2 linked regions of the Sus scrofa genome follow. The protein of the gene in region 2 binds, or shares a complex with, the protein of the main gene of each other region. Links are inferred from orthologs where the notes say so. Each region holds a gene or a part of one and is shown on either strand. Other genes may lie near its edges.

Region 1 (5,299 bases), on a different chromosome or scaffold from region 2:
CTGAAGCAGCTCCATTGAGTGGGTTGGGGGGCTGACCTTCATGGAAGGTGGCTGAGTCAGTGAAGTTGTGTCTCCACTACCACCAGGCACTGGAAATGTACAAAGATGACTGGAACAAGGTATCAGAGCATGTGGGAAGCCGCACGCAGGACGAGTGCATCTTGCATTTTCTTCGGCTTCCCATTGAAGACCCTTACCTGGAGGACTCTGAGGCCTCCCTGGGCCCCCTGGCCTACCAGCCCATCCCCTTCAGCCAGTCAGGCAACCCTGTGATGAGCACCGTTGCCTTCCTGGCCTCTGTCGTCGATCCTCGAGTGGCCTCTGCTGCGGCCAAGTCAGCCCTAGGTAATGCAGGGGGGCTCCAGCCCCTTGTCGTTTGCGTTTGAAGGGCTGGGTACGCAGGTCATAAAACTCTCTCCCTCAAGTTTGGCTGCCTTCCTGGCCTTGTCTGCTGCTGGCCTCAGTCCTGGCGCCCGTCCAGCTCCCTGCAGGTTTAGGTGATGTGCCGGGCTTGTGAAGAAGCTCTCACTGGGAGAGCCAGAACTGCCCACCTGCCCGCTCCCAGCCTCATCCTCTCTGGGTCTTGCAGAAGAGTTCTCCAAAATGAAGGAAGAGGTACCCACGGCCTTGGTGGAGGCCCACGTTCGGAAAGTAGAAGAAGCAGCCAAAGTGACAGGCAAGGCCGACCCAGCCTTTGGCTTGGAAAGCAGCGGCATTGCAGGAACCACCTCGGATGAGCCAGAGCGGATAGGTGAGGCCTGGCCAGGTCCCAGACTCCATTTTTGCCAGGAGACAGAGCCACCTGCCTCCCCACACCATCCCTGCCATCCTCGGGCCTCGGAGCACAAGATGCATGGGGAGGATTGGTGGGGGTTTATTTTCCCCAGCGATTTCCCTTAGGCACCGTGGCTCCCCCCGGTCCTGTCATTAAGGTCTTGGCTAGGAGAAGGGGCTGTTGGAAGAGCATGGTAGACAGACTGTCAGACATTTCCCATTTCCTCTTCCCCTGGGCCCAGAGGAGAGCGGGACTGACGAGGCACGGGCAGAGGGCCAGGCCACAGAGGAGAAGAAGGAGCCCAAGGTATAGCGGGACTGACGGGGCCGGGAGGGTGGAGGGGGCCAGGTAGGAGCTGTGGTCAGGGTGCCGGCTCCATCCAGCTCTGGCAGGGCCGGGTTTGGATGGGGCTGCATCCTGAAGCCAGGTCGCCTTCCTTGTGAGGGGCATAAGCTCAGGTCCTGGTCTGGGCCCTCCGTATGCAAACCAGTCTCCCTAATAGTCTCCCCTTTCCTTTCCCTGGGGCTCCAGGAACCCCGAGAAGGAGTTGGGGCTGTGGAGGAAGAAGCAAAGGAGAAGACCAGCGAGGTGCCCAAGAAGGATGACGAGAAAGGGAAAGAAGGTGACAGCGAGAAGGAGTCAGAGAAGAGTGATGGGGACCCGATTGGTGAGCCTCCAGCGTGGTGGTTGGGGTCCAGGAATGGAGCGAGGCTGTAGGACTGACCCCCCCTTTTCCTGGCCCAGTTGATCCTGAGAAGGAGAAGGAGCCCAAGGAAGGACAGGAGGAAGTGCTGAAGGAGGTGGAATCGGAGGGGGAAAGGAAGACAAAGGTGGAGCGGGACATCGGCGAGGGCAACCTCTCCACCGCTGCTGCTGCCGCCCTGGCCGCTGCCGCCGTGAAGGCCAAGGTGAGGCCCTGGGACCAAGGAAGGAGATGCCCCTTTTCTGATCTCACATCACCTGCAAGAAATCCCTCCTTGTCATCCTTTAAACAGTGCTGACCTGTTTTCTTTGCCTTTTGGTCGAGGGAGGGAGACTCGGTCATCTCTTCTCTAAGCTTTTTTTTTTTTTTTTTTTTTTTTTTTTTTATTTTCCCACTGTACAGCAAGGGGGTCAGGTTATCCTTACATGTATACATTACAATTACATTTTTCCCCCACCCTTTCTTCTGTTGCAATATGAGTATCTAGACAAAGTTCTCAATGCTATTCAGCAGGATCTCCTTGTAAATCTATTCTAAGTTGTGTCTGATAAGCCCAAGCTCCAGATCCTTCCCACTCCCTCCCCCTCCCATCAGGCAGCCACAAGTCTCTTTTCCAAGTCCATGATTTTCTTTTCTGAGGAGATGTTCATTTGTGCTGGATATTAGATTCCAGTTATAAGTGATATCATATGGTATTTGTCTTTGTCTTTCTGACTCATTTCACTCAGTATGAGATTCTCTAGCTCCATCCATGTTGCTGCAAATGGCATTATGTCATTCTTTTTTATGGCTGAGTAGTATTCCATTGTGTATATATACCACATCTTCCGAATCCAATCATCTGTCGATGGACATTTGGGTTGTTTCCATGTCTTGGCTATTGTGAATAGTGCTGCAATGAACATGCGGGTGCACGTGTCTCTTTTAAGTAGAGTTTTGTCCGGATAGATGCCCAAGAGTGGGATTGTGGGGTCATATGGAAGTTCTATGTATAGATTTCTAAGGTATCTCCAAACTGTTCTCCATAGTGGCTGTACCAGTTTACATTCCCACCAACAGTGCAGGAGGGTTCCCTTCTCTCCACAACCCCTCCAGCACTTGTTATTTGTGGATTTATTAATGATGGCCATTCTGACTGGTGTGAGGTGATATCTCATGGTAGTTTTGATTTGCATTTCTCTTATAACCAGCGATGTTGAGCATTTTTTCATGTGTTTGTTGGCCATCTGTATCTAAGCTTTTTTTTTAATCGCCACACCCAGCGTGTGGAAGTCCACAGGCCAGGGATTGAACCTGCACCACAGTTGCAGCCGGTGCCAGAGCTGCAGCAACACTGGGTCCTTAACCTGCTGTGCCCCATGGGCACTTCCTTCTCTAAGCTTTTTTAAGCCTCTGCTATTGGGCCTGTCCCTACCCTCTACTTATCAGTCAAGCCCACGTTACTCTCTGCGCTGTGACCACAGCAAGTTCTTTCTTAAAACCTGCCCGCTTCCGCACGACCCTTCTCTGCCTGGAGCGTCTTCAGCTGGGTCCTCCTGCTGACCGCTGGCCCACCCCTCCTTTCTTAGCACTTGGCTGCCGTTGAGGAGAGGAAGATCAAATCCCTGGTGGCCCTGCTGGTGGAAACCCAGATGAAGAAGTTGGAGATCAAACTCCGGCACTTTGAGGAGCTAGAGACGATCATGGACCGGGAGCGAGAAGCGGTGAGTTGTGTCCCCAGCGGAGTCCGAGGAGCCCAGGGTCCCACCTTGATGCTGAGCTGGCCCTCTGTTTAGGATGGAGGGAGCAGCAGTGCAGAGAGCCTGAGGCTGACAGGGCTTCACAGCAGAGCAGAGTAGCCCAGGTGGTTAAGGACAGGTGACCCACAGGTACAGCCTGGAGCCCAAGTCCCCAGTGTCAGCTCTGGGGCCAGGTTCTAGTCGGTTCTTTGATTGCTGTGTCTCCAGGTTTTTGAACGGTGCTTGGCCAATAGTAGACGGTCCGTAAAGATTTGTTGAGTGAACAGGTTTAAGGCATCATGAGAGGGTAAGGGCTCCAGATCCAGGAGGTGAACTTGGAAAGGAAATGGGAAGGATAAAGTGTTGATTTTGAGAAAATATAAAAGAAATAGAAGACAGTGTCTCTGACACTGATCTCCTTAGTTAGAGGCATCAAGTGTACAATATGGAGACATTGAAAACAATTAATGCTCAACATAGCTCACAGATGCAAGTTAAGAGATTTCTGATCAAGTATAAAAATCCTGAGAGGAGTTCCCATTGTGGCTCAGTGGAAACAAGCTGACTAGTAACCATGAGGATGCAGGTTCAATCCCTGGTCTCACTCAGTGGGTTAAGGATCCGGCGTTGCCATGAGCTGTGGTGTAGGTCACAGATGTGGCTCGGATCTGGTGTTGCTGTGGCTGTGGTGTAGGCCGATACCTGCAGCTCTGATTCGACCCCTAGCCTGGGAACCTCCATATGCTGTGGATGCAGCTCTAAAAAGCACACACACACACAAATCCTGAGACAGAACAGAATAAAAGCCAAGAGGGCAGAGGCTATTGAGCTGATCTGGGAAGGCTTCCTAAGGATGATGAGCCTTCCTCCAGTTTTGAAGGAAGGAAAGAACATGAATTGACAAGAGGAACTAGTAGAAGCATTTTCCAAATTAAAGTAATGACAGATTCAAAGCTTTGGAGCTGAAAAGAACAAGAGTTACCACCAAACTAACCCCACTGCAGTGAGGTGGGCAGCCAGGGACCTGGCGGGGAGATTTGAGGGGGTAGGCTGGGGGAGGACAGAGGAAGCCAAACACAAGACTGAGATTTGGTGTGGGCACCTGTCGGAATGGGCATGCAGGTTTGTCCGAAGACAAAGCAGGGGGCAAGGGGTTTGCCTTTGGGATCGTGTAAACCTGCGTAACAATACTCATGTGGCCCCCGGCAGCTCGAGTATCAGAGGCAGCAGCTCCTGGCCGACAGACAAGCCTTCCACATGGAGCAGCTAAAGTATGCAGAGATGCGGGCCCGGCAGCAGCACTTCCAGCAAATGCACCAACAGCAGCAGCAGCCACCACCGGCCCTGCCCCCAGGCTCCCAGCCTATCCCACCTACAGGCGCTGCAGGGCCACCGACTGTCCATGGCTTGGCTATGGCTCCGGCTTCTGTGGCCCCTGCTCCTGCCGGCAGCGGGGCCCCTCCCGGAAGCTTGGGCCCCTCTGAACAGATTGGGCCGGCAGGGTCAGCTGTGGGGCCACAGCAGCAACAACCAGCTGGAGCCCCCCAGCCTGGGGCAGTCCCACCAGGGGTACCCCCCCCTGGACCCCATGGTAAGTGATGGGTTGTAGGAACTCACTCCAACTTGGAGTGGTCTGGCTGAGTGTTCAGTTCCGTTCGAAGGGGTTGTGATAGGACTGGAGTCAAGGATCAGCCTCAGTTTCTACAGATCCATCTCACTTCTGTCCCTGAGTCAGCAGGGATCCTTCCCCAAACCAGATCCTTGGAATTTTATCCCAAGGATTTACTACTTATTCTAGTTTAAAAAACAAACAAACAAAAAAAAACAGGGAGGTGGTTCCTAGGAGTGGCTTGGTTATGCATGCTGGGGAAGTGAGTTTCCAAGTAAGATTATATGCCTCTAATATTCCCTATCTCTCCTCTTCATTCCCAGGCCCCTCACCGTTTCCCAACCAACAAACTCCTCCCTCAATGATGCCAGGGGCAGTGCCAGGCAGCGGGCACCCAGGCGTGGCGGGTAATGCTCCTTTGGGTTTGCCTTTTGGCATGCCGCCTCCCCCCCCTGCTCCATCCATCATCCCGTTTGGTAGCCTAGCCGACTCCA
Region 2 (6,177 bases):
ACCAACATCCTTAGCCTGGGATTCACATGATTATATGTTACATGCATTACTGCATTCACTCTTGACAAGTCTCTCCTTTAAGAAACGATTATTAAAATACACCTTCCTAAAATAAATGAGCTGAGTAAAATATATATTATAACCACTGTGAACCCTAACAGATTTGAATGTTATGAAAGTTAAAAAAAAAAAATCTAATGGCTATGAAAGAAAAATTATTTGGAAGAAACATACCCGGCAAACTTGTATGTAATGTACTTTCCCTAAAACATTGTGTAAGAAGTTCAAATGAGACTCACATTACCTAATCTAACAAAATACTCAACAGAAGGAAAAAAAAGAAAAAAAAGACTTCTGGGACACTTTTGTATTCTCCAAATTAGAAACAAATATAAAACGATTTTTAAAATTTCACAAGAACACCCATTTCCTTCCCTTTTAACTAATTGTTGTCTGCAAAAATTATTATTTTCATTGCTTCATGTTTCCTTTAATATAATGTCAACCCTAACTAAAACTCCTCAGCCACAATCATCTTAAAAACATCAGAACTGTTAAAACACAGACATATACTAGAAATACACCTTTAATCTTGTTACCAAGCTGATTAATAGTAAAAGATACTGTTGGATATCCGAATTTTGAAAACTATAATGTTATAAGTTTTAATTTTACACTAAACTACATATGATGACATAATTCAAAATGTTTTCATGGTTTAATCCATAAAGGGTACTTCTACAAAAGCCTTGCAAATCCAAAAACTGGTAAAATTCTTGGTTTAATTATTTTTCAATTGCCCTATTCTCCCCCCCACAATTAAAGTGCATGACATATGTAATGTCTAGGCTAAGATGGTCAAAGAGCTGAATTTTGGAACTGCCCAGGACTGGACACCAGCATAATGTTGTTATGTATTTAATCCTCTTATTAATAACTACGATTCATAATAATTTAAGCTTTAAATAATATTCAACCTTACATCTGCTTGTAATAGAGCTCAGTTATTATTTGTGGCAAGAATTTTTGTGACTGTACTGCTCAGCACTTCTATTTACATCAGCAGTGCTAAATGCCCAATGGTGAGAGGGGAGCCAATCAGATGGCAGATTAGATGTCAACTCAGAGGCAGCTGTCTGGAGACTATTACAGCCAGTTTACCTCCACAATTCAAATTCCAAACCTTGCAAAGGAGATCAAGTCAGTCTTCAGGCTCAGCCTACGAGCAAGAAACAGCAAGAGTGCAGGACACCTCCTAACAACGCTGCAGCTCTTGGGTGTCAGGAAATTTAAAATCCAAATAAATCCTATCCAAAAAGATCAATTTTCACTGGTCCGCTATTTCCCTGGATTCGCTGGATAAAATGTATGCCGAATCCACGATCAAAATAAGTTCAATCTAGCCGGAATGTGTTCCTTCAACACAGTCTATCTGTTGAAGGTGACTCCTTTCGAGCAGCCTGCAAGCCAAAAAATGGACTTCCCGGCTATTCTTAGGAATGAATCGATTTATTTTAGGATATTTTACCTCCACATCGCTGTAAACGTGGGTATTATTTTTGCTACTACACAAACTCAAAGCCCGCATCCGATATCTCCGAATGGCTGGGCACAACTACGAAACACACTCGGCTGCCACAAAGCTAACCTATTTTTCCTGCCTTCACCTAATAAGCTAAGAGGGAACGTAGTGTGGCCGGAGGTAGGACAAAGTTCCTCATTCTTTTCCCAGTTCTAGCTCATTGTTGGCGCTAACCGAGAAGAGGGGGTCAATCTTCCTTCCCCGACCGTACCGGCCGGGAGCGCCTATTTTGTTGAAAAAGCTGCCCGAACGGTCCCCGGCGCCCACACGGCTTCCCGGCGGCGCGGTCCCCGACTCCCGCACGCGCGGCTCGGCGCCTGGGGTGGGGTGGCCGGGCGGGTGCTGCGCGACCGGCAACCGCGGCGCCCGTCCCGGGCCTCGGCCAGACCCCCTCCCCAGGCCCCGGGCCCCGCGCCGCGCAGTCGGACCCCGCGCGCTGCCCGGCCTCGGAAGGAGGCAGCCGCGAGTTAAAATGGCTTTGGGCGTCTCGCCCCCGCCTCCCCCGACAGAAGACGCAGAAAAAGTACGCGGAAAGAAAGAAACTAGGGCTCGCGGCGCGCCGCGAGGCCGCCGCGGCGGAAGCAGGCCCGACCGGCGCGGGGGTTACCTGGGATCTGCCCATGGTCGGGCCGGGGGTGCCGGGGCTCATCGCCGGGTGGCTCCTTTGTTGCGCGGCCGCCCAGGCCGGGCTGGCAGCGGCGTACTGGGCGCCCATGTCCTTGCCCAAGCCCATGCCCGCGGCCGCCTGCTGGCCGCCCGCCGCCGCCCCCGCCGCCGCCGCCTGGGACTGGGGCTGCGACGGCGGCGGCGGCGGCGGCGGCGCGCTGGGGCTGCTGTAGTCGGGGTAGCTGCCGCCGTAGCTCCTCATCATGGGGCTGGGCGAGGTGAGCAGCTGGTTGAGGGTCGGGGTGGCCCCCGACGGGTGCTGGTTCTGCCCGGCGAAGCGCTGGAAGCCCCCCGCCGCCGCGCCGGCGGCCGCCTTGCTGAGGCTCGCGGCCCCGCCGCCCCCGGGGCCCATCATCATGCCGCCGCCCTGCTGCCGGGGGGAGCTCAGCACCCCGTACCCCGAGGACGAGCCCCCATAGCCGCCGCCGCCGCCTCCTGCTGCTGCTGCCGCCGCCGCGGCCGCCGCCGCCACAGCTCCCGCTCCTGCTCCTCCTCCTCCTCCTCCTCCTCCGCTGCCTCCTCCTCCTCCTCCTCCTCCTCCTCCTCCTCCTCCTCCGCCACCGCCGCCGCCGCCGCCGCCGCCCGCGCTGGGCCGGCTGTAGCCCGGATAATGGTTGTACTGGCTGTTGGGGTACCCTTCGTGGGAGTTCTGCAGGGGGTCCATGCTGTTGGGGGCTCCGGCGGTGGCTGAGGCGGAGTGCATCATCCCCATCCCGGGGCTTTGTTGTCCGCCATGTTGATCAAAGCAAGGCCCAGCGCGGCCGCCGGGGCCGCCGCTAGCAGGGGCAGCGCTGCCATAGTAATTATTAAACTCCGAGACGGCCGCCGGGCCGCCGCCACTGCTGCCGCCCCCGGGCACAGCGACCGGCGGCGGCTGCGCGCCCAGGGCGCCCAGGCCCGGCTGCTCGTAGCGGCCGCCTGCCGGCTCCCCCATCTTGGGCGGCGCGTCGTCCTCGTCGCCCGGCTTGCTCAGCAGAGGCTGGCCCGGGGGGTCGGCCTGGCTGCCCGCGGCACTGTCCTTGGCGCCTCCATGTTGCGGCTGCTCCATGTCGGGACCGGGCTGAGCCGTGCCGCCGCCCGCGCCGCTGAGGCTGTTGTTGTTGGAAATGGGATGTTGCTGCTGCTGCTGCTGTTGCTGCTGCTGCTGCTGGAACTGGTTTAGCTGCTGCTGTAGTGCGTGGTGGTGGTGGTGGAGGTGGTGGGCATGGTGGTGGTGGTGGTGGGCATGGTGGTGGTGGTGGTGCTGCTGGTGGGGCGGTGCGGCGGGGGCTTCGCCAACGGTTTTCAGTTTGTGGTTGGGGAGCAGCCCCGTCTCCATGGCCGAGCCCGGGCCCAACGAGGAGGAAGAGGAGGACGCCGCCGCGGAGGAGGAGGAGGACAGCGCGGCGGCGCTTCCACCCTCCTTCAGAGCCGCCTCGGAGCCGCCGCTCTTGGCGCTGTTAGTGCTGGCGGCGGCGGCCGCCGCGCTCGCGTTATGGGCCATGTTCAGTTCGTGACGGGGGTGCAGGGGGTGGTGGTGCACATTATTCAGGCCGCCGCCGTCGCCGCCGCCCCCCAGCATGGGTCCCGGTGCCGCCGCCGCCGCCGCCGCGCCGCGCGCCCCCGCCTCCAGGTCCCGGGCCCCGAGCGCCGGCCGCGGCCCGGGGGGCGCCCGCCGCTCGCCGCTGCCCGCCCGCGCCCGCGCCGCCGCTGCTGCCCGCGCGGCCATGATCGCCGCGGCGTGGCGAGGCCGGGCGGGGGGCGGGGGGAGACAATAAAACCCACTTTTTAGTCTGCGGCCCCTCCTGTGCGCATCCACACGCCCCGACGGGAATCGAGCGAGCCCCCTCCCCCTCCACAGGCCCCGCCGGAGCCGAACCGGGAGTCACGCCTTACGGTCTGGGCCTGTTCCCGCTGTGTGATTTCATGGTGAAAGTTTTTAGTTCAGGTTTAAATGAAACTTTTCTCTTTTCCTCTCTAACCCGGATATGGGTAAATACACGACTCACTGAGCCTATCGGGCCCAGCATGGCATGAGAGGGAGCCGAGCGAGCCCGAGCAACTATTATCCACTTCTCTCTGATTACTCGTGCGCACTCGCAAAACGCGGACTGGACTCGGCCCGGGCCGCCGCCGCCCGCGGCGCCCTCCGCCCGCCTGCCCGCCCGGGCGCAGCCTCGCGGGCACCGGCGGCCCCGGGCCGGGGGCTCGGGCCGCTCGGCCGGCGCCGGGCGCGCGGCGGCGTGGGGCGACGGGAGGCTGCACTTTCCCCTCGTGCCTCCGTCTCCTTGCCAACCGGGCGTTCGCGTGTTTGTTTTCACGTCTAAAAGGAACGATTCAAAGGTGGAAAACGAGTCTGACGAGCAGACAAAAGAGGGAGAAGGGCTGGGGAACAAAGTTGTCTGTTGGCCTCAAAGGTTACGAGGAGCCGACGGAGAAAGAAGATATTTGGGCAATCTGTGCAAAAGCACTGCCTCTCCCAAGAGTTATGTAATTTTTCAGCATGTTAGCCTCTCTGCCTTGATTTCGGGCCGTCAATGTAATTCCCACAACTTCTTTAAACTGCATAATTAGGAAAGAGTTTAAGTGAAGGTTAGCCGCATTCCAGAAGCGCTGTGCCCTGTACACAGCAGGTACTCAATAAATGCTTAGGTTGATTGCACCTGCCCCAAAAATAACGTTGATATAACTTTTTTTAAGGCATCTTATATGTGTACGTAGGCTTATCAATGAAAACATAAAGTAATCCCAAAGGAGCATTTTTCCTTCCCATGCACTTGTCTGTCCTCGCTCTGAAGAGAAAGTCTTCAAATACGTAGCGTGGTGCGTTATGCTCCCAGCAACTTGCACGTGGAAATTTAACTCCTGGTGCCATAATAGCGACTGCAAAGGTTTATCTCATGTCTTCATAAATCTGTATGACATCATACCTGCATCGTATTTCAGAGGTTATGTGCACAATTAACCCTCTTGATATGAGTTCATTTCTAAGCAATGTGAGACAAAACTAAAAAAAAGTAACATGTTATTTAATAAACATAAAATCAATGATGATATAAATCCATCAAATCTAATCCTAGAGCTAAAAGGGTTCATGCTTTGTTCTTTTAATATTAGCTATTGTTTTATCACTTTATGATGTTTTAAATTTTTTTATTGTGAATTTCTCACCTAGTAACATCCTGAATATCTTCAAAAGCAGGACTTCTTAACCTAAACAATGGCTCAGTTGTATTAGTGTGGACTCAGTTTTCATGGAGAGAAAGCATTTGAAAGCAGAGCTTTCAAGAGGTCATGCTAGCTGAAATAACATATATGATTTTGGTAGAATGTAGTTTTCCAAAATCACCTCATTCTTAAGCTTTCCATAAAGACTATTTTAGTTTATTTCAACCACAGGGGTTATTTTTGTTTGCTTGAGGAAGTATTAATATGTTACATGACTAAATAGAAAAGGATAGATGTGAAAAACTGGTGACTAATTGGGGGGAGGGGACTCAGGTGCACACCCAAGGGTCATTATAGAGTGTAAAACAACAAATTGCAATTCTCTGCAAACAACTGGAAAACAGGAGTTATAGCATCATGTATAAGAGAGAATAACAGAACTGTAAGGTGAATTCATGCCAAATAATTCATCAATTTTTGCCAAGAGAATACTACATCTTTGTTAGTGTGCCTCTTTGACATTTTCTCCCAGATTTTCTCCCTTTATATTTTCATATACATACCAATTATACAATTACACCACATAAGTTGAATTTTTAAAGTTTTCATATGCAAGTAGAAATACGTTTTGTGTATATGTGTACATACAAATATTCTAAAATCAATTACATATTTATGCTTTGTGACATTCATAGTCATGCTAAATACATACATATAATCACAAAAGTGCATTTTTTTTCAAACTGATAAAGCATATCAAAGTCAGTCGTATGAGTGTAGTC

The links.
Region 1: ARID1B (region 2) and SMARCC2 share a complex: the UniProt entries of both Homo sapiens proteins name them as parts of the neuron-specific chromatin remodeling complex. The link is inferred for Sus scrofa from reciprocal best matches to the Homo sapiens genes ARID1B and SMARCC2.

Annotation. Positions count from the first base shown.
Region 1 is NC_010447.5:21,565,622-21,570,920, reverse strand, and holds part of SMARCC2 (SWI/SNF complex subunit SMARCC2), read left to right. Parts: intron 1-86; coding exon 87-345; intron 346-589; coding exon 590-751; intron 752-1,016; coding exon 1,017-1,081; intron 1,082-1,306; coding exon 1,307-1,442; intron 1,443-1,519; coding exon 1,520-1,683; intron 1,684-3,046; coding exon 3,047-3,181; intron 3,182-4,405; coding exon 4,406-4,787; intron 4,788-5,128; coding exon 5,129-5,299. UniProt on the Homo sapiens protein: Involved in transcriptional activation and repression of select genes by chromatin remodeling (alteration of DNA-nucleosome topology).
Region 2 is NC_010443.5:10,223,547-10,229,723, forward strand, and holds the start of ARID1B (AT-rich interactive domain-containing protein 1B), read right to left. Parts: upstream 3,835-6,177; 5' UTR 3,810-3,834; coding exon 2,190-3,809; intron 1-2,189. UniProt on the Homo sapiens protein: Involved in transcriptional activation and repression of select genes by chromatin remodeling (alteration of DNA-nucleosome topology).